Astyanax mexicanus: one gene and its partners. The protein of the gene in region 3 interacts with the protein of the main gene of each other region in a pairwise test. Links are inferred from orthologs where the notes say so. Each region holds a gene or a part of one and is shown on either strand. Other genes may lie near its edges. The genes, in order: tbrg4, uncharacterized protein LOC103039245, type-1 angiotensin II receptor-associated protein and ap3m1.

Region 1 (7,265 bases), on a different chromosome or scaffold from region 3:
TCTTACTGTTTTTAGCAAAAGAAAAATTCATACAGTTTTAATTTATATACCATTATATATCTACTTATTATATCAGATTATATCTGTCCAGTATAATTTATTTTACTTTAATCCTGGATATATGAAGATATATGGAGTGCATTATTAGTATCATGAAATTCTGAATCATTGACTTCTGTTACAAATCTGATAAAATTCTTGTATTTTTTAATATCTTAGTTAGGGATGTGCCGTATCATATCGTTGCAGTAGCGCATTCTCAAAAAATATATATATATTTTTTTATTCAGTGTTTTGTCATATCGCCAAGATGAAATTATTTTAGGGCCATATCGTCCACCCCTAATCAATAATATGTAAAAATGGCATTTATTGGTGTAGTATTCAAAGTACAGTAGCACGTGGTTTGGGATGCAGAATTTATATAACCAGGATATTACCCATTTTTCCACTAAACTGAATTAATCACATATCATGGCCTGCACCAAACAACTTTAAGGTAGACTATATTCTTGGTTTCACTTAGTGACACTGAGAGAGCAGGGGTGTAGGAATGAAATCACACTGAATTGTGAACCTGGTTACATAAATCCAGCTGTAATGTTGACAAATGTATTGCTATTATTAGGGAGCTTTCCCTGCCACCTTCTCCCCTTGTGAACAGTGATTAGGTGTTTAGACCTCCACTTCTGGGAAAACTGGAAACAACACCTCTACAAAGTTTATAGTTAATCAGTTCAGTTAAGTCAGTTCTTTCAATCTGATCAGCATTCCTGCATTACTTTGAGTGAAGCCGTGTTGTACGGCAGATGCTATACTAAGTTGGCCTCTGTCTTGGTGGTAAAGTATACAGTCAGTCAATAAATGGTTTGTCCACTGTGGCATCTAGTGTCTGTGACCTGGACCCATCTATTTTATACTATGTGGCTAAAGTACTATAGAATTAAATAATACCTGAAATTAAGATGCATACCTTCTCCAGTAACTGGTCAACAGTGTACTTCTCAGCAGTTTTCTTCTTGGCTTTCTCCTGCATCTTGGCCTTCATCCTCTCCTGGGGTGACATTAGTGTGTGACCTGAAGCTGAAACAAAAATGAAACCTTTCAGACCTAATCATATAAATAATTAAAAAACACCTCAGTAACCAAAATGTTCAGCCAATCAAACACTGCTAAAACAACTCAGCACAATCAGCTCAAGCGGGTCAAGGTGGACAAAAGGTTCAGCTATTAACCAGCATAGGCCATGCCTTTATTTGAGTTGGGTTTGATCAGAAGGACTATAATGAACCAAGTTGGATGATCAAAATGACCTAGCTAGCTGATTAACATAAACCAAGCTGGTTGATCAACATAAACCAAGCTGGTTAATCAGCAAGGACAACATGACCAAACTGGTTGACCAACATGACCAAGCCTAACATGACCAAGCCCAACATGACCAAGCAGGTTGACCAACATGACAAAGCTTGTTGACCAGCATGACCAAAACAACCAAGCCCAACATAAACAACTTGACCAAGCAGGTTGACCAACATGACCAAGCTTGTTGACCAGCATGACCAAAACAACCAAGCCCAACACGACCAAGCTTAATTTTACCAATATGACCAACTTGACCAGGCTTAATATGACCAAACCCAATATGACCAACTTGACCAGGCTTAATATGAACAATATGACAAAACCCGATATGACTAAATTGACCAAGCTCAATATGACCAAACCCAATATAAACAACTTGACCAAGCTCAACATTACCAAGCCCAACATGACCAACTTGACCAAGCTTAATATGACCAATATGACCAAACCCAATAAAAACAACATAATCAACCTCAATATAACCAATATGACCAAACCCAATATGACAAACATGACCAAGATGATTGATCATGACCAGCATAAGCTACATGACCAAACTGGCTGAACAACATGACCAAGCTGGTTGGGCAGTATGATCAACATGACCCCTCTATGCTGGCAAATAACTGTTATTAGGGTGCACAACAGCACAGGGTATGATTTCACCTAGATGAACAGCTTTTTAACCAACACAGAAGAGCTTAGACCATCCAAGACCAACAATTAAGTGACACAAGAAACTTTGCCCAAAGCAACAGAACTATATGGAAGAAGTGTTTTTTTTTTCTGCAGCTGTAAGCTGTGTGAATATTTATAATGTAGGCTATATTAAAGCAGTGTAATCTCAGTAGCTGAGCTGTATCTGAGTGCAGGTGTGTTTATCAATCAGTCAGTATCAGACAGTAACTTACCTCCTCCACGGTTCTCTTTCCTCTTAGCCTTGCTCTTCTTTTTAGCTTGTCCCCCCATTCTAATACTGTAGCTCCACTGGACTGGAGTGGATAATCACCCGGGTATATATCTGTGTCAGGTTTATTCCTGCTTGTCTAAGAGAGAGAGTTGTTGTGACTGAAGAGTGTGAGTGTGGATGTAAGCAAGCATGGGCAACAGCCCCTTCTTCTTCTTCTGCTTCTCCCTCACGAGCCACGCGTGCTGCTCCCCCTACAGGTTGGAGCTCTACAAAAGATCCTTTTCTATTACATAAATTAACATGAAGATAAATTAATAAAGAAAGTAATAAAGTGTGTGTTGGAGGTGTTGCCTGGGGTCTGAAGATGATCAAACAGAACAGAACTAGCTAAAAGACAAAGTAGACACCAGCTTTTATAGTCATTATAATATCTGCATTACAACAGACTAAACACCAGGTGGAGCCATTAAAAACTCATGTTAAAATGCATATAAGGCAAAAAATACTATGTTATTCCAATCGTTGATGCACAGTATCATGAGATAAATAAATAATTGATTTGCAGCAAAATATGATATTATTATTATTTTTTTTCTCAAATTGCAATTTATATTGCAGAGCAATTAATATCAGACTATAACACAGGGGTTCTCAACTGGTCTTGTCCCGGGAGCCTCATTTTCTCATGGTCATTAGGTCAAACCGCACTTTTATTGAATACAAACCAAACAAATGTATGCATGCAAACTGAATTTAAGAGCAATATTTAAGAAACATGAGGAGGAACATGAAAACTACATGTCTAAAAGTTACTACAATAAAATTTGGTAAATCAATTATTTTTTTCCATAGCCCCATATCAGGGAAATTTACTGGGAGCAGTGCTATTCGTACAGTAAGCAGTGCTGGTTATAATATTATAATATTAATAGTACAAAGTGTTATCAATTATGTCATGCTGCACCAAATATAATATGTACACACAACCTTACACAAAAATAATTCGATTTTATACGACAAATACAACGTTTTTTTACTTTCTTATTATTTGGTACCTAACTTTGGTAACTAATTTTTAATGATATTATTTCTTAAAGAATGAAAGAGCACAGCTGACATATTTAAACAATATAATAAATTTATTTTATTTATTTTTTGCATTCAGAAATTCAGAAAGATAATTTGTCGTCAAAATAAAAATCTCTAATTTTGTAATGTTTTTAATTTTATTTTATTGTCTGTTTAAAATCCATTTTAATACAGGATTTTAATATTTTTGTTTGTTTTTTTTTGTTTGTTTGTTTTTCGTTTTTGTTTTTTGCCGTTCTCTGTTGCTGTTTTTTTAAAGGTGGTTGTTTATTAAAACTTCAATAAAAAAATTGAAAAGATATTAAATCATTAAGCATAAACGCTTAACTTGTCGTCAAAATTAAAGTCTCTCATTTCTTAATGTTTTATTATTCTGTTTAAAAGAAAATCTATTTGTTTTGTGCAGTGAATAATAAATAATGTCCGTTTAAAATCTATTTCATTACAGGCTTTTACTATCTTTTTTGTTTGTTTTTTATACAAGTTTATAATGTTTTTTTTTTAATACAAGCTAATAATATTTTTTTGTTTTTAATACAGGTTTATAATATTTTTTGCTGTTCTTTGTTGCTGTTTCTGTTTTTATTTAAGATTGTTCTTTCTATTATAGATTCAATATTTTTTTAGTTAACGCTTTAATTAACGTCAACGCTTAACTTGGCGTCAAAATAAAAGTCTCTAATTTCGTAATGTTTTTTATTTTATTTTGTTTAAAATAAAAAAGATATTTGTTTTGTGTAGTCAATAGTTGTATCGTGTCTGTACACAATCTATTTTTTAAAACACGTATATAATATTTGTTGTAAAAGGTATTTAAATCCTATACATATAGATTTATGCCTATTACAAAACGTGTCGCAGAAGTAGTGACGTCTCACTAACCTTTACACTGCATCATGTGTGACGTGAATACTCGCGCGACCCTTGCGGGCTGCTCCATGTGAAAGTCGCCGGGATGTGCGTGAATGTGAGAGTGTGTTTGAGTTCTGGGATAATCTGTGTATAAACTCGTGGATCTGAAGAGGTAAGGCGGTGGTCTGTATTAAAATGTTGTGCGCGGGTTAGCAGTAGGGTGTTTGAGGAGGCTGGCTGTGTTATGTAGTGAGCAGTGAAGTCTGTGTGGCGCCTCCATAGCCGGCAAGGTCAGTGCCTGCTGAATGAAACATATTAAGATTTTACTTTAATCTTCTATTAAAGGTGAGCTTATTACAGAACAATGCCTTTAGCTAAGTGTTATCTAACGGCTTTCTTATGGAAAATCATAAAACCCTTTAAAGCTTGCTGAACTAGCTTGCCTAATTGTCTAATTTACTGATGCCCTAAATTTTAAAACATGTACCACCCACACTCAAACTAAAATCACCCACATGAACATATGCAAGAAAACTAGGGGTGACCAATTTGGCAAAAAATCAAATAAAAGCATGTTATTGAATATCCTGATGTCAATGTGAGATACTAACTTACATTATTGCTACAGATTGCAAAATAAATGCTGCCAAATTACTTTCATTTTGAAGTTCATGACCTTTGGAGAAAATGTTTTGTGAATGTTAATGTTTTTATCCGACAGTAATATGTCATTGTCTCAGATGAAGCAAGTTGTATTTCTAAAACTACAGAGATATAAACGGTATATTAATTAAGTTTCAAGAGTTCAGAAATCAATATTTTGTGGATTAACCCTGGTTTTTAATCACAGGTTTTTATGCATTTTGGCATGTTCTCTTCCACCAGTCTTACACACTGCTTTTGGATAACTTTAAAGCTAACTCTGGGTGCAAAAATTCAAGCAGTTCAGTTTGGTTTAATGGCTTATGATCATCCATCTTTCTCTTGATTATGTTCCAGAGAAACTCAGCAATTTTAAGTGGTCTCCAGGGCTGCATATTGCTATATGAAAAATACAGGATTTAACATAATATTTTGCTGGAGATCAGATATTCAACATGGGTAGAAACCATCTGTAATCTGGTTGTATGTCGTTGTCCTGAGCTGTGACTACTGCGCTCGTGTACACTGTGAAGAGAATGCTGAAACATTGTGTTGTGCTGTCTTACTATAAAATGATATATATAGTTTGGCCGATTCTTTTTAATAATTGTATTTATACTAAATCTATAAGGATATTATTCTGTATGTCCATTTCGAAACGGTCTTAATCTTTTTTGTTTTTTTTTGTCTGTTTATTTACATATTTATTTTTGTTTTCTATTTTTTAGTATTGAATTAGTTGTGTTTTATGTTCAAACAAAGAAAAGCAAACTAAATAAAATGTACAAAAAAAAAATAAAGATATAATGTGAACGGGACTCGGGGTGTAGTAAAACATAATTAACGTGAGTAAAAACTTTGGTCGAGTAACCCATCTCCGTTCACCTCCAGCACTGCAAAATACAGCGCTTTTAGCCGATTCTCCCAACAGGCTTACAATGTTAGTGATAGGGGGTATAGCTTGGGTAAGAGCTGTAGCTAATGTATCGCAGGGCTCTAGAGCAGGCTTGGTGACATATTGGTGATGTTTGCTATATAATCCAGGCCTAGTGCTAATATTGTCACAGTAGTTAGTTATGCTAAGAATTAGGAAATTAATGATGGTTAAAGATTATGATAAAATGTGTATAAGTAGCAATAAGTCCATCTGAGCTCTAATGTAGTTAGTAATGTGCAATGTGCAGAGTGGGTGAATAGTCTGAGGCATGTAGCTGGTCTGAGTTGGGTAGCAGAAAAAAGAGAGGCTGAAAGACTGGGAAACATACACTCCACACTATTAGCAAACCAGTTTTATTTGTTGCTTCATGTACCTAAAACCTGTTAAGCACTCTAATCAATGCTCTCTCTCTCTTTCTCTCTTTCTCTCTTTCTTTCTCATCTTAGGATTTTAATGAACGTGTGGATGCAGGTTGGTGAGTTGTGAATACGCTGTCAAGTTCAAAAGCCCCCCGAAATGACGGCCAGGCTTCTGAGCCGATGGGCTCTCCTGTTGTCCAGATGTCCCCAACCTTCTGCATCTACTGCCCACCTGAAAGCACTTGCTGCCCTGCCTGTGGAGCCACTGTGGTCCCAGGCCTGGATTCAGACCCCTGTCAGACCTTTTTACATGAGCAGAGAAAATGCCCAGGAAGAGAAAACAAAAACCACTTCCCAACAAACAAACTTCCATCTTCGTATTGATAAGGCTGCCACTCCAAAGGAAGTGCTGAATCTCTGGAAAAATCTGGGCGGCTCGACCAATCAGGCAGCCACGTGTCTGGTCCAGATTTACAAACTGTCTTTAGGGACAGGAGTGAAAAGTGACAGCAGTATTTTGAATGACCCTCGGTTTGCAGAAATGCTGAAGGCTGTGCATTCTCAGGTAATAATGTGTGTACGTCTGCTTTACGGGATTTCCAGACATTTATAACCCCCAGCTTGTAATTACATATCTTTCTCTTGCCTGCTTAGAGACCCATGTGGACAGTTTGTGGGTCATGGGTCATCTGTTCTGGACCTCAAGAGCTAATCAGTACATACAGTTTGGTTGCTCTCCTGCTCCGTTTGTAAGATGCAAAAAAAATTATTTGAAAGTTCTCCGTTCCTGACATCTGAAGAGTTCTGGGCCTTTAAAAGCTGTCATGCATATAGTAGTAGGGCTTGGTATTGTATTAATACAGATACCAAAACATTACCTTTTTTAATATTGTAACAAAAAAAAATAATAAGAAGAAAGTGTTAATTATTTATATTCAGCGTATTTATTTAACAGGCCAACATGAGTTATCTCATTCTCATACTGTAATCATGAGATTTTGTTGGAACAAACAGACAATTTGCATCTTGGTGGCACTTTACAAAAAAGCAACATTACTTGTGCTTAAACAATAGATTTTTTTTTCCTAAGCGTATTGCGGAATGCAGTTCA
Region 2 (6,894 bases), on a different chromosome or scaffold from region 3:
CAACAATTTACTTATGTACCTGTTGTATCTGTAAATGGAGAACAATATGAGTTTCTTATCCTCTGTTCACCGGCCTGTACTCTTCAGTATTCTGACACTGGACTACTTGATAGATGTGAATACATTTCTGTTGTTTCTGTTATCATACATGTTAAATATAACAAAAAACTACATTCATATGAAAATAATTACTATTATTAAGTTGTTTGTTTAGGTAACACCTATTAGTTAAATTACTGTAAAATTAAATTCAAGCACAATATCCACGCTGCATGAATAGCAGTAAAACAAGGTTTTGGGTAAACAGTAATTAATCAATAAGACAAAAACTACATGTTAAACTACTGTTTTAACATTGTTATTTCAAAGTATTTGTAATTTAACTATGCATTCATTCTATAACTTAATTGATACAAAGAAAAACCCCACTGTCCTCATTTATAATGACATACGTACCAAATATAGAATATATCTGCCCAAAATCCTTTATTTTATTCTAGTCTTTGATACACAGAGTGCATTATTATCATTATTACATGTTGGGTTATTGATTTCTGGAGAAATCTGGTAAACCTTTCTGTATTTTCAGTTTGGAAAGCTCTACTATAAACAACGCAGATTATACTGAATGTTAGACAGCTGTTAAAATGACCCCCCCCCCACCTCCCCCATTACAGTTAACCCCATCTGTGCTCAAGTAGTAGCAGAAACCATATGTTAGGTTGTATCCCACTGTCTCCTGCTGTTAGTAAATACACTTTTTTATTTGAACAAGTTTGTTCTAATGCTTATTAATCATTGACAAATCTATTATTTGTGAAATCTCTTTCTTTCAGATCCCCCAGATCTGAACGGCAGTGAGGAAATGCATGTTGAAGAGGAAAGTGATGCTGTTCTGTCCTGTAATGTTCAGGCCTTTCCTCCAGTAGCTGTAATCTGGAAGAAAGATGATGCTGTGCTAGATCTTTCCACCAGTACCTACCACACCAGCAATGATGGCGTCACCGCCAAGCTGTCCATCTACAACATCAAGCGCAGTTCACACCAGGGCCAGTACAGCTGTGAGGCAACTTCACCCACCTACGGACTAAAGAGCAAAACCTTCATCCTCATCGTTGGAGGTTCGTGTGTCCTTAAAGTAATCCTCATAATTTCCAAAACTGCCTATTCACCCTCTCTCAGCAGGCTGTCTAGGAATGATAGCGCTACCAGAGTGTGCCAATTTCTCCGCAGTTTATAGTGTTTTTTTTATGTCCCAGTGTCCTCCACTGATTTTATAGGTAGGTTTAATTACTGGTAACGTCATATTCCTGTTTTTATATAGAGGTTTCCTTGTATGGCCAGTTTTAATAGTTTAAGCATGAGATATAGGTACTAATTTTAAGTTTGATTAAATTCAATGCAATTCAATTTAATTTTCAAACGTCTTTGTATGGATAACCTCACTGTGGTTGCGTTTTCATAAAAACACAAGTTTATCCATTTTTATTTCTCCAAAGCAAACAAATTACAAGATTAAGTTAAGCAAGCAATGAAGCAATAGACGATTTACTTAAAGAATAAAAAAAGGTTTTGCCCATTATTTTTTTAGTACTTTCCTTTTTCCCTTGGCACTTTGTTATATTAAGATGACAAGAATAGAAATATGACTTCATAACAAAATTCTGTATAAGTGAAATGTATGCATTTTGAAAGCTTTTAGATTTTAGAATACTAAGCTTTTAGAATACTAATTGCAAATTACAAATATATACTAATCTAAAATACTTAAATTGTGATAATATTTCACTGTCAAATGTAATTTAAAACGACAAGTAAATATGAATAAATACACACTGCTAAAAAAAAAATGTTCTGGCGCTTATTTTTTTAAGTGCAATGTATTAAACAAGGGGTGTACAAATGCAATGCAACTGAAATATTCCAAGAGAACTCAAAAGTAGAGACTACTAAAATATTCTTATGCTTAATATATATATTGAACTTTGGAGACTTAAAAAAATGCAGCAAGTTTGAAGATTCACTGAGTACAATATACTGGCTTGTTTCTCCTAACAGATAAAGTAATGAAGTTCCCCCTGTGGCCCACAATTGCTGGCATTGTGGTCGTGCTCCTTACAATGCTGCTAGCTGTCATTTCCAGATGGCAGAGGGTTATGAAGGTAACACATTTCGGCCTCAAATCTAGTGTTGTACAAATGTGTTGGCACCCTGGAGCCGATTTCATATTTTATTGATTAATGCAGTTAATGGATGCAGTGTAAGAAGCAGCATTTAATGATCAAAACACATTACAAATTACAAAAAAAAAAAACATTATTCAAAACACCAATTTGCCCTGTTTAATATGTTTCTCTCTGATTCTACCATTCTCTCACAGAACAAAACGTGTCTCTTTTCCCTCCACAGTGCTTTAAAAGAATCCACCATTAGTGACCATCACCTTTGGGATTCAAAGTACTGTTGCTGAACTGAACCACAGGCCTGCCCTACTGGAATGCTACTGCATAACAACAATCTCCAAACAAAACTTCTCATATGAAACTCTACACATGTAAATAAAATTAATTTAAAAACACACCATTACTGTCTGCATCAAGTCCTGCATTTTTGGAACTTGTCATTTGATAGAAGTATTTGAATAAAGTAAACCATAAAGTTTTGTAGAGACCTTTCTTTACACTTGTAAAATGCAGATCTAAATGCTAATTACATTGTGCAATTGCTCCCTGAGGCTCGTTAAAAAGGTGTTATACATTGACTGCTGCTGAGTAAAAAGGAGACGCTGCCACACCTGGCACGTTTACAGCCTGGTATCTCAATGTCATGGCAATATAAACCTATTAAAATTCTAACAATTACGAATTCTCAAGGCCAGGTGAAAGGTTTTCCTCAATACGAACTAAAGGAAGGGGTCACTGTAAATTTGAATGTGTACTGTAAATGTCTGTAAATCACTGTCTGGCAAAAAAAAAAAAATCTTGTATCTCCATTTTTTATGTAATTCACTTTGACATCCTTTGAATCTGGCAGTTGTACTTTACATTATGCCAAAATTAAATGAAGTATGGACTAATAGAAATGCTCCAAAGTGAATAAAACCTTAAAAGTTGCTGTTAAAACACAAATGTTTTGTGTGGTGTTTTGTTCGCCAGCCACCATTGCTGCTGTACTTGCAGTATTATCAACCATTGTGAATAACTGTTCTAGGTATGAGTAGCTCGACTACTATTTTGCATTGCTCTGTAGGATAATAATGCATACCTCATTTAAAAAACTCATGGATATATTATTATACTCTATATTACATGTTAGCTAGCAACATACTCAAAAACTTGTTAGTTCTATCTATTAGTAACACCACATATATTAATTGTTCATTTTAAATCTAACAGTGTTATTTATTAAATGGTGAAAAAGTTTGTGTATTGTTTTAGAAATGCATTTTTAGTGGGGCATTTCTCAATACAAAGAGAAAAAAACTACATTGTTTCATAAACACCACATTTTTTTTGTTTTTTAAAAACTGAATTAATGTTTTTTCAAGTACTACTACTCATATTGTGTGCATTTTCTTTGTATTTTAGTTGCAGCTGTTAATTTCAGCAGTTACAAAGTTACTGGCTGTGTGAATAAAAAAGGAAACAGTCCGTTTAGCATAACAATACAGCGCCTGTTGGGATGAATGCAACAATGCAGAGCATTGGAGCATCACCTTTATTCGGCCTATTTGGCTTGTTGTCTGGTTTTAATCGCAGCATGACGGAATAATAGACCAATCAGAAGTGGAGGGAGGGACATATGAGGTGAAATATACCAATCGTTGAAGAGAGTGTTGGGTAAATTGGCCAATACAAGGATCAGGAGGCGGGGCTTGTGGTGCTCCTGCATATTGTTTAAGGGCGGTCCGCCAAATTCAAACAGTGAAACACGGAGAGAAAGGGCTGCGGTCGGTCCGGTGCTAAAACCCTGCAGAAACACACAACGGTAAGATATCGGTCTTTATCCTTTTTTAGCTGGGTTTTTATCTGCAGTGAGTCTTTTATAGGAAGATGTTTGTCAGGGAAACAGGTTAAGGCTGAGGATCAGTATATAACGTTCAAATCCAGGCTGGGGTATCTTACTAACCTTAGCTAACTTAGGTTTTTTTTTTCTATGCCAGCTAACCTAGCTAAGTTAGCACAGGTCCCGGTGTAATGCGTATCAATCTTGTTAGTAAGCTAACCTAGCTAACTTAGCTAACTTATCTGATTTCACTCTACACAGGATTACACACGAAGGTTAGCTAGCTAGCTAGTGTAATACAGAACCATTGTATTGATTTTTGTGAGTAAATAATAAAACATTGAGATAATGGTAAGATCAAAATCTTCATTAGCTAGGTAAGCTAATTTAGCCATTATTTTCTTTTACCAGTGTTCTGAATACCTAACGTTAGTCTTCCTGATAGTGTGCACTCTTTCCTGATATCTTTGTTTGAGTAAAATTTTGCAGTTTAAGTTTTTGATTGTATTAAGCTAAATTTAAAACAATTAAATTGGCTATAAAACACATAATTACATACATACCTACATTTAGTAAAGTTATGTTTTTTATTCAATTTTTCCATTATTTAGTTTTCTTATTTTAGCCTTTTGTAAACAGAGTTCCAAGAAAAATTAAAACTTCAATTTTTTTTTAATTTTATGTGTCTTTTAACACATCTAATGTTATAATCCAACTTGTAAACTGAAAAAATCTACACAAACTACATTATAAAAAATAGTTTTTGTGACCAATTTTCTAATTTCGGAAAATTAACAGTCGGAAAATTAAACTGCTAAATGTTAGACTGACCAATGTCACTTTACAGGCTCTGATTTATAAATGGTCAATATGTAAATAGTATTTGCAAAATGCATTAGAAGTGGCAGATTATTTAAACAAAGTGATTTTTTTGAAATTATTATTACAAATTCCCTGCATACCCTACATACAAAAAGGAATGTACAAATCCAAGGCTCTATGTAGTTAGTTAACATAGCTACATTTTACCAGCAAATAAGGTGTTCCCAGGCATAAGGGTATACTGCACTGCAAATTTTTTGAATTAATGGGTTAAAATAGCCTTCTTGTGTTGCAAATATTTACATACAGATATCACAATGATGATAACAAAATTAAATTGCCTAAAGTGTTTAACTAGCTAACACTAGATAGGTCAGCTAGCTAGCTAGCAAGTTTAGGTTAGTAAGTTTGCTAGGTTATATATGTAGCTAGCTATTTTCTTACCCCTCAGATGTTTTAGCCAGCACTGCTAATTAACTAACTTGTTAAAGAACATTATCGAATTTTAGTTAGCTAATAGCTATAACACTTATGTCTAACCCATATGACATTAAAATGTTTACCCATGTACAAACGTTCCTCTTTCTGGGTCCCCTCCTTTCCCAGGTTCCCCTCCTTCCCTTTGTTAGACTCTCAGTATGGCGGCTGTGGTAAGTGGTCTTTGGCGGGCTCATAGTGTCCTGGCGGACTCGGAGCCGAACAGCTCTCCTGAAGCTCCTCAGCAGAACCTCCGCAAGCTCCGCTCCTCCAGCTCCCTCAACTCTCTCAGGATGTCCCTGCGAAAGAGGCTGCCCCTTAAGACCGTCCAGACCAACACCAATGTCCCTGAGAATCCCACCTGGGAGACCCTCGAGATGAACAAGAAGACCAGTGCTGTGACTCAGATCAAACGCTCCGCCAAGAACTCCATTGGCAGCGCTTATCAGGTACTCTTCCATTTAAACAACTGCCTTTTAGCCCTCTGTTTTACCTGGGTTGGCAGTGTTCCACTACACCAAGTAACTATTATCTATTCAAAGAGCTCAACTCTCTTGGCCGTATTAGTGCTTAGTGTTGGTTTTGCTAGATTTAGAAACCCTAAGGTTGCATCCTGCAGAAAATCAAGTTCATATGTGACAACAAGTTATTAGGTGAGGGAATGAGATCCTAATGTGTAGCCACAACTTGAAGTTTAAGCACGCACAGTTAAAAAGAAATGGGATTTCACTTTATGCATTTATATCAATAAATTTGGGTGAGTGGAAAAATGCATCACAATATTTAGGGCATTTTTAATTTAACAGTATTTGCAAAATGCACTAGTAGTGACAGATTCTTTAAACATGGTTTTTATTTTATTTATTTTTCTTCTACCAAATGTCCTGTCATCCAGTTATACACCACAAATTAAATTAAACCTATGTTCTTTAAGTACTGGTGATATCCACAATATGCTCAGAAAAAGCATAACATTTACTATAACAAATTCACTACAATATGATAAAATATTGTCATATTACCCCACCCTAGGAATATATGTGTATGTTCAGTGTTTTTAATGTGAACATATGGTCAATACAACATTTGTGAAACATGCAGCAATGTAGTGTTTCCAGGATTTCCACATGTCCTAGAAAGTTTAAAACAAAAAAAAAGGATAAAGTTAGGGAACCTGGCTACAAAAACAATACAAAAACAACAATGCTGACATATTTTTAGTTTTAGTTTAGTTGTGATTTTTACTATAAAATGTTGGGCCCAGTTTTCCAAAAGTGTCCCAAGACTCCGCTAATACACTCATATGGGACTCATTTGGGTGGAACCTGGGCTAGGTACGTTTCAGGGCGAGCTGGGTTCCGAGATGTTTTTTTCACATCATGTGTTTTAGGTTTATTACGTGTAGGATCCATGTGTAGTGTACAACCCAGATGAGGCCCATGTTAAACCCCTACTTGTCCCAATACCAACCCTAAATATCCAATTAACATTTTACATTGGTATGTGTTTTTAGTATAGTAACTACATCAAATGTAAGTTTAAGAAATTAGTCATAAGTAACATTTATGTGTTGACTATCGTTTGGATTAA
Region 3 (7,769 bases):
TTGTACAGGCTTATGTAAAGGATTACTGTATTATAGGGGAGTATAGGGATCAGAGTGTATGATATGGACTGTATGATAGAATGGGCAGGAAAAGGTAGTATAGGGTAGTATTGGATAGTATAAGGTTCTATAGGCTAGTGTAAATGAAAAGTGCAGTATAGGTGAGTGTAGGGAGTAGAACGTAGTAAAAGGAATTATAGTGAGTATGGGGAGTAGTAGGGCATAGCATATGGAAATTTTAGATGGTATAAGGAAGGATAGGGAATGTAGGGTAGTATGGTGTAATGTAGATAAATAAGTAGTATTATATTAAGTATAGGGGAGTACATGAGAGTAAAAGATACTAGAGTGAGTGTATGGTAGTATGGAAAGGAAAGGTTAGTATAGATAGTATAAGGTATATAATGAGAATGGGGAGTAGAGTGTAGTATAGGGATGTTTTACATAATATAAGGTAGTATAGGGAGTGTAGGGTAATAAAGGGTAGAAAATGGGAGTATAGGGAAGTGCAGGATAGTACATGGAGTTCAGGGTAGTATGGGGTTTATATTATGGTGAGTAGAGAGTAGTATATGGACGTTTTGGAGAGTATAGTGTAGTATAGGTAGTGCAGGTAAGTATGGGATAATATAGAACAGTGAGTATTAAGAATATTGAGTATAGGGTAGCATATAGATTACATGAGAGTAACAGAGTAAGATAATAGAGTGAGTGTAGGGTAGTAAAAAGAGTAAAGGGAAGAATAGAAAGTATAGGGTAGTATACAGAGTACAGGGCAGTATAACGGATTATAGTGAATTATAAAAAAAATAGGGTAGTATAGGGAAGAATACTACATGGTTCAGAGCTCAACTAATGTCAGACCCCAAACATTGTCTGATTTAATATATTTGCGCAAAATAGAAACAAATGGTAGATTAGATTTTTTGCTAAACACAATAACACTGTTTAGCCAAGGGAGACAGAGATGGAGGTCAAAGGTCACACCTGCCACCGAACACGAGTGAGTAGGCAGGTCCCATCTGCCAGACGCGTGGCACACAACAAAGACGTCCATCCCCACAGGGTGTGAGAGCACCCCCCAAAACCGGCCTTCTGTCTCAACTCTCGTCTAATTCATCCAATCACAGCTCATAACTGACTTACAGCTAACGAGCTGTCGCCACACACACAATACACAGCGCAGCTGGCTAATTCAACACACCCGCATCCGTCTATCACACTCATAATTGAGTTTTTTATAAATGTAGGCTGGTAGATGGTCTCCTGGCTCTGGGATTTTGTGCTTCAGGGGGCTTTATCAAATCAATGATTTAAATGTTGCCTGATTTTAATGTTTAGATGACAGTAGATCATGAAAATTTGTCTTGATTTGCTTTCGCTTTGATAAGTCTGTGTAGACCTTTTCTCTCCTGTGTGCTCAAACCTTTTTAATAACACGGCCCAAATACAATACATGAAAGAAATTGAATTGTCATGGTTGATATTTCACACAGGACAACTCATTTCTGTTCCGGGGATCCCATGATGGAATATAAAATGTCACGATATAATGTAATTCAGTAGACTCATAACCAGGGATTTAAGCACAAATACAGACTCCCCACCAATAAAGCTGAGCGCAGACATACAGGCTGAAACTCACCCGCCTCAGGGACTCCACACAGGTATTTAAACCCAGATTTACTCTCAGTGCACCAGCAGAATGCACAAATGAAGAAAATGAATCACTGTAACTGAAGGGAAAGAATGTTAAGAAGAACAAGGTGGATAGATATATTGATCTATCTAGCTTTTCCAGTCCCTGTAGAGAAGTGTTATATAATGCGAGGTATTGAGCTGTGGAGCGGTCGAACTGTGTTCTCTGGAACTCCACCCAATACTTTTGGAATGAGGTGGGGAAGACCAAAGCTATCATAGGTATTGAAATTAATGACCCAGGTATAAGTATAGATAAGAGAGTATAGATATTAGAGTTTAAAATACTTCTGTAGAAGTTGAAGTGTCAACTCAAGCTTTTTAATCCAGTAAGAGTGTCTAAGTATTGGTTTCAGAATTACTTAAAAATATGAAAGTAAATGTAATGGCCCTTGTTGGTTTCTTGCATTATTTATTTGCATAATAGTCATATCCTCCACTCCTTACTCACTATCAGTGTGTAGTCTTGTCAACCAAGGCTGCCTTTCCTTTAGTACTCAGCTAATAGTTATTTCTATTTAGTCAGTCAGTTAATTACTAACTTTTATTCCAGGGAGTTTAGCTTGTGTTTTTTGTCTTTTAGTATAAGATAGAATCACCCTGCTTCCCTTCTGCCAGTCAAAATCAATAACACTTTGCAGTAAAGAAAACGGTAACTTGCTTTTATGCCCTACAACCAGTAATGTTAAACTCAGATTTGAACTAAATCAATTTATTTGAAAAACACAGTGTTTCGATATACTGCTTTGAAGTCTGTATCAAAACAAATAAATTCAAATCAGCTTTCATTACATCACAAAGTTTCAAAACATATATAATAAATAAATATATAATAAAGCTGACTACTCAGCGTAGCCCCAGTGGACAAGACTACACACTGATGGATTGAACTGATTTTGTGACGCCATCTTTACTGAATACTGTGGTACTGTGACAGTACCACACCCACAGAGCACACTAGCACACAAGCTTTTCATGAATTCATTAATTTATTGAATTGTGTAATACATTGTGTTGAAATAATAATGCATCCCAGCACTCACATAACAGTAGAGCATATACAATCACTTATTACAGCTGATGTCCATAAATTTTGGGATTGAGGGCCCTCTCTGTTGAGAATGGGTAATTGCACCAAAAACGAACTGGCACATTGAATCTAGATTAATGTACCTTGAGCTCTTCATCGGTGGTTGACAGGCACGTGTGTTTATTGCGTGTAACGTCACCAAAATACCACATTTAAAGTATAGTTACTGTGGGCCATGCAGTGAAAGTAGTAGAGACAAACATACATTTAATATAATCTTTTAAGAATTTAAAGGTCCCTTTCCGCTAAAATCCACTTTTTCTTGTTCTTTGTGAAATACAGTAGGTCTCTCTGAGTTGTATATTGATGCTGCACATGAAACTGTTCCTCAACCATTGCCTGCAGTAGCTAGTAAATGTTCAGAAAAACGAGTCGAGCAGTAAAAGCACAGTCTCTACCTTAATCTGTGAATTAATATTCATGGCCTTGCCCATCATGGAGCTAACAGGACTAGAAACAGCATAGCAGTTTGTTCCTGTATTATTTGTGTAAATAATATATTAGTGTTATATGCTTTTCCCCAGTAATTCAGAGGTTATTCAAACAGTTAGAATTTGTCTGTAGAATACCACCAGCACAGTACAACTGAGATAGGTAGGTGTGTGTTTACACTAGTTAAAAGTAAAAAGTGCACCCAGGAGTTTGTTCTGAATGCCTGGGCGGCTCTGCTGCAACTCAGCTGATTTTTTTTCTTTCTGGACCTGGATTACCCACCTCCATGTGTTTACATATGATCTCTGGTGGATTTTGTGTTTTACAGAGACTATGAGTCTAAGTCAGTGGCTTACTTGACTTAGCAGGGCATTACACATGTTGTAAAGTAACATATGACATTGCAAATACTGTCATTAGTGTAAAAATGTCTTTATTTTAAAATGTTTCTATCTGTTGTCCATCTCGCTGCAGTCATAGTGCTGTTAGCCAATCAGAGACGATATGTTTGCATGTATGAATATTAATGAGCAAAAGCAGAAATCCTCGTTTCTCCCACTCCACTCCTCCACGGGACTAAAGCACAGTTATGCCGAATCACCAGAGCACAAAAACCAGCACACATGGCATTCATTCATACTAGAGACCACAACTAGACATTTTAAAGTTAATTTAAAAATTATGGAATAAGACTTTTAAAGCAATAAAATTGAAACAGACACAAAGTAGGGAAATATGCTCGCCCAGATAATATGGGTAAGGATAACAGAGACTCTATTATAGATATTATTTTATTTACAGACTTCATTGCGCTCAGATAGATAGATAGTAGGGGTGGGCGATATGGCTCTAAAATAACAGTACGATATTTCAGGGTATTTTTTCGATAACGATATACTTGGCAATATAGGAAAACAGAAAAAATAATTCATTAACTTCAGGAATATAGTATAATAGTATAACAGTATAATCATAATGTGGCAAAATAAATAATATAGCCTAAAATAATATAATGCAGCAAAAAATATTGCAGAATATTTTCATGCATATAAACTGAAAACAAAAACTAAACTAAACTAAAACAATTATATAATACATACACCTAAATCTTCACAGTAAATAATGGACTACTTTTAAGACAGAACATCTCTATTATCACGATATGGATTTTTAATATCATGATATTTCTGTGTTACGATAAATTGTATACAATATAATATTGCCCACCCCTAATAGATAGATAGATAGATAGATAGATAGATAGATAGATAGACAGACAGACAGACAGACAGACAGACAGACAGACAGACAGACAGACAGACAGACAGACAGATAGATAGATAGATAGATAGATAGATAGATAGATAGATAGATAGATAGATAGATAGATAGATAGATAGATATTATCTGATTTGATCAGTGGAATGTGTTATTAGGCAGGCTGTGAGATGCTGTATAAGACCTCAGTGCTCTCTGGCGTTTATTTAGGAAGGAATCAGGGTCACGTGGTGGAGTCATGCTGCAGTCACATGGCTGAGTCCGGCAGTGCAGCAGCAGCAGCAGCACAGTGCTGGACTTCACTAACTTTTCCCCCAGTCTCAATCTGAAGTGCTGAGGACAATCACAGCTCACAATATGGAAATCCCGGCCATAAACCTCAAGGTAAACATTAGCCTGTGTTTAGATTTGCTGGCTGAAGCATTAAAGAGTCAGCTTTTATTAGTTTATTAATTCTATCAGCAGATTCTGCTCATCAGGTGTTTCTATTAGAACCATTATCTCCATCCTTTTATCTGCTGTGTTTTATCTGATTTAATCATGTTATACAGGCAGAATGTGTTATTTTATGATGTTCTAGATGTGTAACAGGCTTTATGGTTGCACGTGAACGTCTTTGAACTGGATTAGTGAATTTGTGTGTGTGTGTGTGTGTGTGTGTGTGTGTGTGTGTGTGTGTGTGTGTGTGTGTGTGTGTGAGTGTGAATCAGTGTTTGCTTGTATTGCTATTTCTGAAAGCACCAAATATCTTCACAATGAAAAGATATGAAAAAGTGAATTAAAGGTTTTGGATATTGTGAGTAGGTTAAAGCGTTAGGTTTACGATGCTATTGCATTACTTGTTTACAGTATATTGTAAAACACATATTAGTGTATTTTATTATACGTTTAACTTTCAATGAAAGTATTTTTTAAAATTAATATAACTTATTATTTTATGCCTTTGTCCTTCCTGGCAAGCTGTAGTGGACAGTAACAGACCAGACATTTTTAACAAATTAAATGTTGATGGAAACTTGATTGACCTAGATTTGCAAGTTGTAGAATTTTTCTTTGTAAGCTTGATCTGTTTTGATTTACTCAAAATATTTTATTACTGTTATATTTCACCACAATAGAATAGGTTAACCATTCCACTGTATGTGTTATAATATAGTGTGTTTATTATTAATATGTAGGTTACCATTGTACTGTATATTTTATAATATAATGTGTTTATTATACATGTGTGTGTGTGTGTGTGTGTGTGTGTGTTGTAGGCCATCGTGCTGGTCCACTGGTTGCTGACTATCTGGTGAGTAAAGTGGCTCCTTGGTGTTTTTCCTCACGTACCTGAGGAATTTCCCCAGCTGCTCCGTCTGTTTGTGAGAGGTTGGGATTTTCAGGGCTTTATTTGGGATAAATGTCTGGATTGAAAAAGGCTTTCACTTTCCTCACGGCTGATCTTGTCTAAATAGTCAATCCCACTGATTTTAATCAAATGAGGCAATACAAATAGAGCCGCAAGGTGAATAAAGCAGGGAGAAACAACTACATTGCAATGCAATATAAAAAAAATACAGAATTTTTTTTTACCAATTTTTAATTTTGTGCTGAAAAGTGAAATCTTCCAAATAAATATGTATACAAGTAATATAACATTTATTGTGTTGGGAATGTTTTTTTCAAACACTTTATACAACTAAGTGAAGCTAAGCAACATGACTATTTAAATGTATCATGATAAATTTACTTGTCAGATCTTTTTAAGCATGTAGAGCATATAATTAGTGTTTAAATTACTATGACCCAACTGTACATTTCATTATAGAGAGTGTTCAAAATCCTGTTTAATTGGTAAATGTGCAGCAACTATCACTGTGCTGTGCATAAAATAGTTGAATTCTGTTTTTTTAAGAATCTGCCGCTGTTGATGCATTTTGTGAGTGTCAAACTTTTGTGATAAATATTGTTTATTGTGTTACTTACACCATGGATGCAGGCTTTTATACTGTATATATCAATACGGGAATTATATCAACATAAATAAATAAGTGCTTTTATCTGGGGTGCTGTTAACTTGCGGTTTCAGAGGCTGGTAATTTTGATGGACTTACAACAGAGGTAACTCTTACACTTCCTTTCCTGGGGTGGTCCTAATAAGTGGAATGTTTTGGAATGACTGACCTTTATTTCTTAAAGTATATATTTTTTACTTAGTTGAGTAGTTATTGCCTTCGAGTAGAACATTACTCAAATATGCCTATTCACTGTATACCAACTCTACCTCTTCAGAACTTAAAATTCAAGTAATTAAGGCTTGGTGAGTTCAGCACAGCTGTTAACTGAATGCCTGAATTCCAGGTGACTCTACCTCATGAATCTGACTAAGAAAATCAAGCCAGGATGTGCGAAAATGTCATCTAAGCGAGAGATGCTACTTTAAAGAATCTAACAATTTAAATGATGAAAAACTACTGAATTTATGGTGTGTCCAAACTTTTGGCTGGTACTGTATATTGCTTGATAATTAGCATATAAATAGCATTTTTTTTTCATTTAAAACCCAAAAAAATAAACATTTCTTGATACTCTCTGATCCAGATCTACTGGGTTGGATTGATACACCCCTATTAGAGGCATTAAACTCTGATGATTCCCAATGACTGGGGTGAATAGATTCATTGTGCATATCAAACTAACTGAGTGTAGCTCTCCAGCCAAAAGTATCCAAAGGACAGTGCATATTAGAAACTGCTGACTGCTGATGAAGAGCTACAACTGATAAAGTCAAAAACACACACCAAGATTCTGAGCAAATGCGTCTCAGATCCGCCAGTGAGCATTATTTCCGCATGACTGAAATACCTCTTAGTTTAAAAGCATTCAGACATGAATTTAGCTCCTTATTAACAGACTCTGAATTCCTGCAAAACTTGATATTCAATTATTTATCACATGTAAATGCTTAGAGGTGTGATCTAATTAGAAACTGGGCCTCTTAAGCCACAAGAGGATGTAAGAGTGTCTCCCACTGACCTTTTAAAAAGGCTTTCAGAGGTTACTTTTGGGCAGTATACCTTTTGGTGAGAGATCACTGATTAATAGACATGCCTGTACAATGCACTCAAATGCACAGTCCCACCTTTGCTGTGGAGTGATACACCACCCCAACTGCTGATAAACTACTGTGATGATCTAGATTGGATTGCATTGCAGACGACAGTCAGTCACCCCTAGTAGTGATACAAGGGACTTCCAAATGCCATTATTCAAGTTATTAAGTTTCGCA
Region 4 (7,575 bases), on a different chromosome or scaffold from region 3:
AATAAAATAAAAGCATGTACAATTAAGGCTAAAAGAGAAAAGCAGACTCCTGGGAAACTTTTGAATTAGAGCAGATGTATCTACGTGGGAGTTTCAGAGGTAAGGCAGCTTCTGAAACAGATGTTCAGTATGGATATGATATGGAGGTGAAAAAGAACAAGCATGGTCATCTCCTGCTGAAATGCTAAAACAGACAAAATGCACAAAAACCTTACAATCAAAATAATTACAGATACAGTATTTGTTGTAAAATTGTATCAAGAATATACATGGCATATTCAGGATTCTCAGAATCTCACCATAAATTATCCTACTATCAGTGATCATCAACATAATCATAAACATTTCAGTAACAAGAAATAAAAGAAAAAGAGTCTACATCTCATTAGATCATCACCCACAAGGTTCTCCCAATGCAAAAAGCTACCCTTACCTGGCCATGCTTCTAGCTGGAGATGATGCTGGAGACTCTTAACTGAGATCCAGAGGAGTTTTAAATATAGAGCAGATTTAGCCAGCAGCAGTGCACTGTATCAACAGCGCTCAAAGTCAGGAGTTTCTCTCCTGCTTTCAGCTGATTGGCTAAGGGACTAAGGGAGGGGAGCAGATGATTGGGGGAGAAGAAAAAAAGAGGCAGTGCTCTGACAGGGGGCTGCATTTTGGGCCAGGAAAAAAAAATAATAATAAGCCAAGTCTCGTGCTGCTGCTGTCAGTGCTGCTGCTGTCAGTGTGTGCACAAGAAACAGATTTAGGCTTATTAGCAGTGTTTTTACACGCTGGTGGAACGAAGTTAGCTGCTTCATTTACAATGATGCTTACATCTAAAATAACCTACACTTAATTAACCACAATGAACCATTTGAAACACGCAAGTTACTTAATACTTATTTAGCACTAACCGCAAAGGACATTGGATGAACATTAATTTTTTGTTTGCTTTAGACCTTTTCATGGTTATGATGGAAAAACAACCTTTATTTTATTATTTATACTAAGACTTTATTATTTATACTAAGTAATAGACATTAGTTAGCGTAAAATTATAACATTAAATCTATGTTCATTAATAGATTTAGGTGACGTGCTTCCTTTAAATAATAATAATAATAATAATAATAATAATAATAATAATAATAATAATATTTTTAAACATTGCTTTCTACACCACAAAAACACGTTAGAAGCTTTATAAATAAAATTTAAACAAGATAATATAAATATGTCATGTAACTAAAAAATAATTAGTCGGTCAAACAATGCATATATACACCATAGATTTGATTACAAGTTGAATTAACCTAACAATACCTTGTCTACAGTCCTTTTTAAGCTCAGTTTAGTTCAGTTCATCAAGATTTAACTACATACTTAATGTAAAGTAAAGAATAATAATTACAAACATTGTATATATAACAATATATACAATGTTTGTAACCATACCATTGAATCCAAACTTAACAACACCTTGTCTTTGTGTTTCTCCAGTATTTTTATTTTACACCCACTATATAGTACTATATAACTCTACATTCCTATACTGGTATAACGAAAATAATCAAATTTAATTAATTGAATGAGAGGAGAGTTACACAAACTATTATCTATAGTTTATAGGTAAGCAATCCTATGTATATAGTTTCCTAACTTAACTGTCTGTGGCTGAAATGACTGCAGCTCTATAGAGAGCTAGCTACATGCTGTCTGGTTAGGGGACTGGCTGCCAAAGCAGCTTGTAAGCGTGTCACCTCTCACACAGAATTTATTTTGTGACACTGGCCTTATGAACCCTTATCCCACTTTCGTTTGGAGCTGCCTCTCTATCTCTTTATTTCTTTCTTTCTTTATGTGTGTGTTAGAGCCCCCTGGCCTGAAACTGAAGGCAAAGTGGTCAGAGGACTTCTCTGAGCTGTTAGCTAAGCTACCTAAGATACAGCTCTGTATGAGAGACCACTTACAAATTATGATTTTCTTTGATTTTACCAAATTGAAAACCTCTGGAATATAATCAGGAGGAAGCTGGATGATCACAAGCCATCAAACCAAGCTGAACTGCTTGTATTGTTGCACCAGGAGTGGCGTAAAGTTCGACAAAAAAAGCAGTGTGTAAGACTGGTGGAGGAGAACATGCCAAGATGCATAAAAATTGTGATTAAAATATTCCACCAAACATTGATTTTGGAACTCTTAAAAATGTATAAATATGAACTTTTTTTTGCATTATTTGAGGTCTGAAAACTCTGCATATTTTTTGTTATTTCAGCCATTTCTCTTATTTTCTGCAAATAAATGCTAGAAATGACAATATTTTTAATTGGAATTTGGAAGAAATGGTGTCCGTAGTTTATAGAATAAAAACAATATTTATTTCACTCAAACATATATCAGAGAAACTGATTCAGAAACTGAAGTGGTCTCCTAATTTTTTTTCAAGAGCTGTAGCTAGTTAGCTAACGTAGCTAACTACATAACAAAAGCCACGTGGGGCGGGAATTCCACCGGCTCCCACCTCTGGACTGAACAGCGAGCATACCCAAAGACCACATGTGCACGTGTGAGCGCGTGCATCCGCCAAACCCCCAATTTAGCAAGTAGGTTAGCTAGCTTAACTTCTTAGTTAGTCAACTTTATTGTATCTACATTGTCTAAAATATAACAAAACAATCCTCTATTACTACTTTATACTTTTTTAAAACTTATTTTTGACTTTGTTTTTAGCTTGTAACGCTCGCTACCCAGTAACTTAGCTAGCTAAACTTACTAACATTTCCCACGGCCAGCAAACAAGACCCCAGCATGAACCTCATGGCATAAATAAACTTAACTTGGTAGTTAGCTAATCAATGCTAAATGGTTGCGATTGTTTCTCAAACAAAAATTTGTTGCAAAACAGAACTGCAGCAGCTGCACAGCAGAGGAACACAGAGAGATCTCAGTAGCAGAGCACAATGGCAATGAGGGATTTACCTAAATTACATAATTTAATCAGGATTAAATCCAGATATCCCAGCTATGTGTAACGTAATTGTCATGTGTCATTTAACCCGAGCTTAAAGTGCACACAGTGCAGACCACGCTGCAGTAAAACTCACTCCCTAACTTGAGGAGCTTCTTCTTACAACACCCATACCCATCGCACAGCACAGTCCAACGCCTGTGCTCAGCTCACCTGATCAGATCAGTCTTTTCCTCGAGTTTGATTTTCTTTGCTTTGGGCTCTCCTGTGGCCATGGTGCTTTACCTGTGCGTCCACTGATTTGCGCGCGCGTCCCTGACACCTCACCTTGCTGGATCAAGCGGGAATGAGAGATAGAGATACCGCCGGAGGAGATAAAAAAAAAAAAAAAACACTGCAGCCCGGTTTAGAGCTGCCCTTTTCTGCTGCCGGACCAGAAACAGCTGAGGAAAAAAGTATTGCGTAAGTGTTTAACGCCATTGACAAAATATAGTTTATTTGTTACAAAACATACCTAAAGTTTTGCTTCATCTGTTTTAAAATCCACTTTTTGACATTTGTTTGCATTATTTTCTACAGAAGGTGTCAGAAGCTAACGTTGGTAAGTTAAGGGCTAGTTAGAAAATTGCTGCGAACCGCTAGACGGAGCCCGCGAGCGAGTCCTCAATTAATTGGGGTGAATGGAGCTAAAAGCTAAAAACTCAAATAAAAAATATTAACAAACTACATGTCCTGGAAATTATTTTAGTTTTAGGAAGAACAAAATGGTATTTTGCTCTGAAAGCAAATAAAATATGCCTATGTATTTCAAATGTTCTACAGCATACGTTTTTTAGGCAGTAAAGGCGCTAGCGTTACTGCTACTGTGAGCTTAGAGTTGACAGGTTGAGAGATGATGCTGAAGATACAGACAGAGCACGGAGTTTAAACAGTTTATAACTTGTTTAATTTGCAGGGACAGTGCTCATTAGACAAGATAGAATAAACTATGTACACGAGGCAGAGTTTCATCTGTAGTCTGTGACCAGTTCTTAAATAAGGCAAACTAAAATAAAAAAAAAACATATCTTAGATTAAAACAAACATTTAAACACTACAGAATAAGAGACAAGCATCCAACAAACACAATACAAGTAATGCAACACAATCATTATTAAAAACATGCAGAGGCAATTTATATTCAATTTATATTCTGTTCAAACATTTATTTTTTAGCAAGCTACAGTTTTAACTGATAAGTACTAGCATGATAAGTACTAATTTTTAAAAATATTTTATTTCTAATTTTCTACCCTGATTTTCTCCCCAATTTACACGGCCAATTACCCAACCCAAATGTGCTCACTCAGGGCTCCAGTAGCCGATGGCAAGCTACATGAGCAGGACTCAAATCGCTCCCGATCATAGTGGCAGCACATATCTTGCTGAACCACTCGGTGCCTTTGTTAAGTTGAAAAGCTTTAAAAAAAAAGATGTCTTCTGTAGCAAAATGTTAAAGAATTTAGTATTTTCATTTTTAAAATTATCAAAAATGTATGAACTCTGATTTTGATCAAATGCTCCATAGGAACCCATTCATTTTGGACTCACTCTAGAGCGCCCTCTTTTCTCTGACTAACGCGGAAGAGGTTCTGAAGTGGGAACTCTCTCTGTTGTAGAGACTTTTCTGCCGGGTTGCTACCGAGGACTTTTCTCAGCTGGAAAACTTACTCAGCATCAAGACAGTTCTCTAAAAGGTATTTTTACTGTTTTGTAAATGTATTTTACAAGTGCAAAGCGTTGGTTAACAGTATATCCTGTGTTCTGTCTAGGTAGTGTCATATTTAGCGAACCAGAGGCTGAGAAATATGTCTAAAATCAGGCACCAAAATAAACAGACGCTAAACTTTTTACTGGCTAGCTTGGTTAGCTACACTTGCTCTGGAGTGGTGTAGGTAGCTAAATGGCTAAGTCTGTTTTATAGCTAATGTTAACGTTAGCTAACAAGCTAGTTAAAGTGTTGACAGCCTCTTATAACAAAAAATCCATTAAACAGATATAAGTTCTCTGTGACAGTGGGAACATAGTAGTTTACAGCTAGCTAGCTAACTCTTAGCTGTGTAAGTTAGCTTAGCTCGTTAGCTGGCAAGCTCAGTTACTGTGAAGCCCACATTCCACATTCTGCAGCATCTAGAGATCTTCAGATGGATAACACCTAGGTGTCAGATAGCTAAAAGCTGGCTAGCTACGTTTGTTTCTGAAATTTTAGAGCAAACTGACAACCAAGTTACCCACAAGCTTGTTCAATTAAGTATATTTCTTACGTTTGTGAAACCGAAAAAAAAAATCATTAAACTGTTAACAGTAAAGAATTTATACTTTGGCCCATTTAAACAAAAAAATGGAGGTTATATAGTTTCTTGACATTATTGTCAATGAACTGCACTTTATTTGAATATTTTGAATGTAATAAAGTGACAGTTAAGTCACTAACTGGTTGGTGTGGTGCAGTGGATAACACCACCGCCTGCCAGTGAGCTACCATGTGGGAGACTGGGGTTCAATTCCAGGTCTGGGTGACTATAATGTGATACACCAGTAAGAGTCCTTGGGCAAGACTCCTAACACCTCAGTGGCCCACCTCGTAATAGGAATAACCGTGTAAGTCTCTCTGGATAAGAGCATCAGCTAAATGCCATAAATGTAAATATAAATGTTTATTGCAGAGAGCATGCTAAAAAGTACGCATGCGTTTAAAAGATGCATTGTGTTGCTGTTGATTAGCTTTCAGCTTTCTTCAGTTCTGGTTCTGTTTTTTTTTTTTTTGCTTAAAACTGTGTGTATGAGCAGGTGAAGACTCAGTTTGCAGATCGGATATCTCCATGTTTGTAGTAGCTCTTGTATCAGCACTGTGGTTACTGTGGTTGGCATTCTGACACATGCACGAAATTTAAAGTCTGCAGTTGGTTTTATCACTTCATCCATCTAAACAGCACTATGTTTCTTTTCACAGCTCTCAACATGATTCACAGCTTGTTTCTGATAAACAACTCTGGTGACATATTCCTGGAAAAACACTGGAAGAGTGTCATAAGTCGTTCGGTCTGCGATTACTTTTTTGAAGCTCAGGAGAAAGCAGGGGAACCTGACAATGTACCTCCTGTCATCCGCACACCTCATCACTACCTAATCAATATCTACCGGGAGAAAATCTTCTTTGTTTCTGTCATCCAGACTGAAGTTCCTCCCCTCTTCGTCATTGAATTTCTTCATCGAGTTGCTGAGATGTTTCAGGTATTCTTCTTATATTAGCATATAAATTAGCTCTTTTTAAAAAGTTACGTTTTAGTGTTTTTTTGGGTCTGTTTAAAGTCAGATCTTTTCTGGGACTGGAAAACTGGCCTTTTAGCTTTTAAACTAATGTATTTTTGTAGTACTAAATTATTCTCTACAGTAGGGTGCTAATGTACAGTTTATTTTACCTTTTATATTTAACTAGGACTATTTTGGGGAATGCTCTGAAGTTACCATTAAGGACAATCTGGTAATAGTATATGAACTACTTGAAGAAATGCTTGACAATGGCTTCCCCCTGGCCACGGAATCCAACATCCTGAAAGAGATGATTAAACCTCCCACAATTCTGCGCTCCATGGTCAACACTATCACAGGTAGAGGACTCCTATAACAACATTTAATAACAAAAATGCATTCACATTTCTGTCGCTTGCCTGACAATTTGTAAGAATAAAAGTACCGTATGCTGTTTTGCATATTTCAACTCCTCTGTGATCTTTCCAGGCAGCAGTAATCTTGGGGCCACTCTTCCTACTGGACAGCTGTCCACTATCCCGTGGAGGAGAGCAGATGTAAAATACACTAACAATGAGGCGTATTTTGATGTGGTGGAAGAGATTGACGCTATCCTGGATAAGTCTGGTAAACCTTACCTGTTCTTGTTTTTCTTACACATGATATTTATTATTTGTAGAGAAGTGTGTGATCAGCTTGGTTGAAGGATCTTCATTGTTCACTTCTTTTTTTCGACATCCCATTTCATAAGAGTTCACAGTGTTTATTTGGAACATTCATCGTTTTCAGGCACAACAGTGTTTGCAGAAATCCAGGGTGTGATTGATGCTTGTGTAAAACTCTCAGGAATGCCTGATCTCACACTATCATTTATGGTGAGTGCAAGTAGATAAATACACACATAGAGAGGCTTATATGATTTATGTTATGTCTGTACTTTTATCTAATTCTGCTGTATATTACCACTTATTAGTGAGCATGGTTGTGTTTAGATTTAGTGACATTTTCCCGCCTCTGTATCCACTGTGATTTCTTCATTCTGTACTCTGTGAACAGGGGTAGAAACTCCATAGCTCTCAAACATTTCCAATCTTTTTTTCTCTTTAATTTTTTTCCTCTGCACAAGTGATTGTTACAGAGATAAACTATTTATTGATATAGTTGGCATTTTTTTTGTGGACATGAAGAGAATGGAATACACCTTAATCACACAAACACTATATAAAATGTGTGTATATCTGTAAAGAACTCTTCATCATTTCCAACATTTCAGCTGTGATTTGCCATTTATGTTCTTTATCTTCCACATTTTTATACTGTTTTAATACTGT

Evidence for each region.
Region 1: the proteins of type-1 angiotensin II receptor-associated protein (region 3) and tbrg4 interact in binary tests that used the Homo sapiens proteins (3 or more experiments, as listed by UniProt). The two-hybrid records come from large-scale screens. The link is inferred for Astyanax mexicanus from reciprocal best matches to the Homo sapiens genes AGTRAP and TBRG4.
Region 2: the proteins of type-1 angiotensin II receptor-associated protein (region 3) and uncharacterized protein LOC103039245 interact in binary tests that used the Homo sapiens proteins (3 or more experiments, as listed by UniProt). The two-hybrid records come from large-scale screens. The link is inferred for Astyanax mexicanus from reciprocal best matches to the Homo sapiens genes AGTRAP and PIMREG.
Region 4: the proteins of type-1 angiotensin II receptor-associated protein (region 3) and ap3m1 interact in binary tests that used the Homo sapiens proteins (3 or more experiments, as listed by UniProt). The two-hybrid records come from large-scale screens. The link is inferred for Astyanax mexicanus from reciprocal best matches to the Homo sapiens genes AGTRAP and AP3M1.

What each region holds. Positions count from the first base shown.
Region 1 is NC_064408.1:110,806,492-110,813,756, reverse strand, and holds the start of tbrg4 (FAST kinase domain-containing protein 4), read left to right. Parts: upstream 1-4,252; 5' UTR 4,253-4,388; intron 4,389-6,241; 5' UTR 6,242-6,311; coding exon 6,312-6,719; intron 6,720-7,265. Other genes in the region: uncharacterized protein si:dkey-12j5.1, read right to left, coding at 974-1,083, 2,277-2,334. UniProt on the Homo sapiens protein: Plays a role in processing of mitochondrial RNA precursors and in stabilization of a subset of mature mitochondrial RNA species, such as MT-CO1, MT-CO2, MT-CYB, MT-CO3, MT-ND3, MT-ND5 and MT-ATP8/6. May play a role in cell cycle progression.
Region 2 is NC_064424.1:13,215,572-13,222,465, reverse strand, and holds the start of uncharacterized protein LOC103039245, read left to right. Parts: upstream 1-3,882; 5' UTR 3,883-3,987; intron 3,988-5,433; 5' UTR 5,434-5,465; coding exon 5,466-5,753; intron 5,754-6,894. Other genes in the region: tmigd1 (transmembrane and immunoglobulin domain-containing protein 1), read left to right, coding at 837-1,121, 2,059-2,162, 2,381-2,470. UniProt on the Homo sapiens protein: During mitosis, may play a role in the control of metaphase-to-anaphase transition.
Region 3 is NC_064431.1:8,274,797-8,282,565, forward strand, and holds the start of type-1 angiotensin II receptor-associated protein, read left to right. Parts: upstream 1-4,744; 5' UTR 4,745-4,855; coding exon 4,856-4,882; intron 4,883-5,757; coding exon 5,758-5,792; intron 5,793-7,769. UniProt on the Homo sapiens protein: Appears to be a negative regulator of type-1 angiotensin II receptor-mediated signaling by regulating receptor internalization as well as mechanism of receptor desensitization such as phosphorylation.
Region 4 is NC_064414.1:37,935,580-37,943,154, reverse strand, and holds the start of ap3m1 (AP-3 complex subunit mu-1), read left to right. Parts: upstream 1-4,552; 5' UTR 4,553-4,689; intron 4,690-5,945; 5' UTR 5,946-5,953; coding exon 5,954-6,226; intron 6,227-6,431; coding exon 6,432-6,603; intron 6,604-6,733; coding exon 6,734-6,871; intron 6,872-7,033; coding exon 7,034-7,119; intron 7,120-7,575. Other genes in the region: adka (adenosine kinase), read right to left, coding at 3,167-3,228. UniProt on the Homo sapiens protein: Part of the AP-3 complex, an adaptor-related complex which is not clathrin-associated. The complex is associated with the Golgi region as well as more peripheral structures.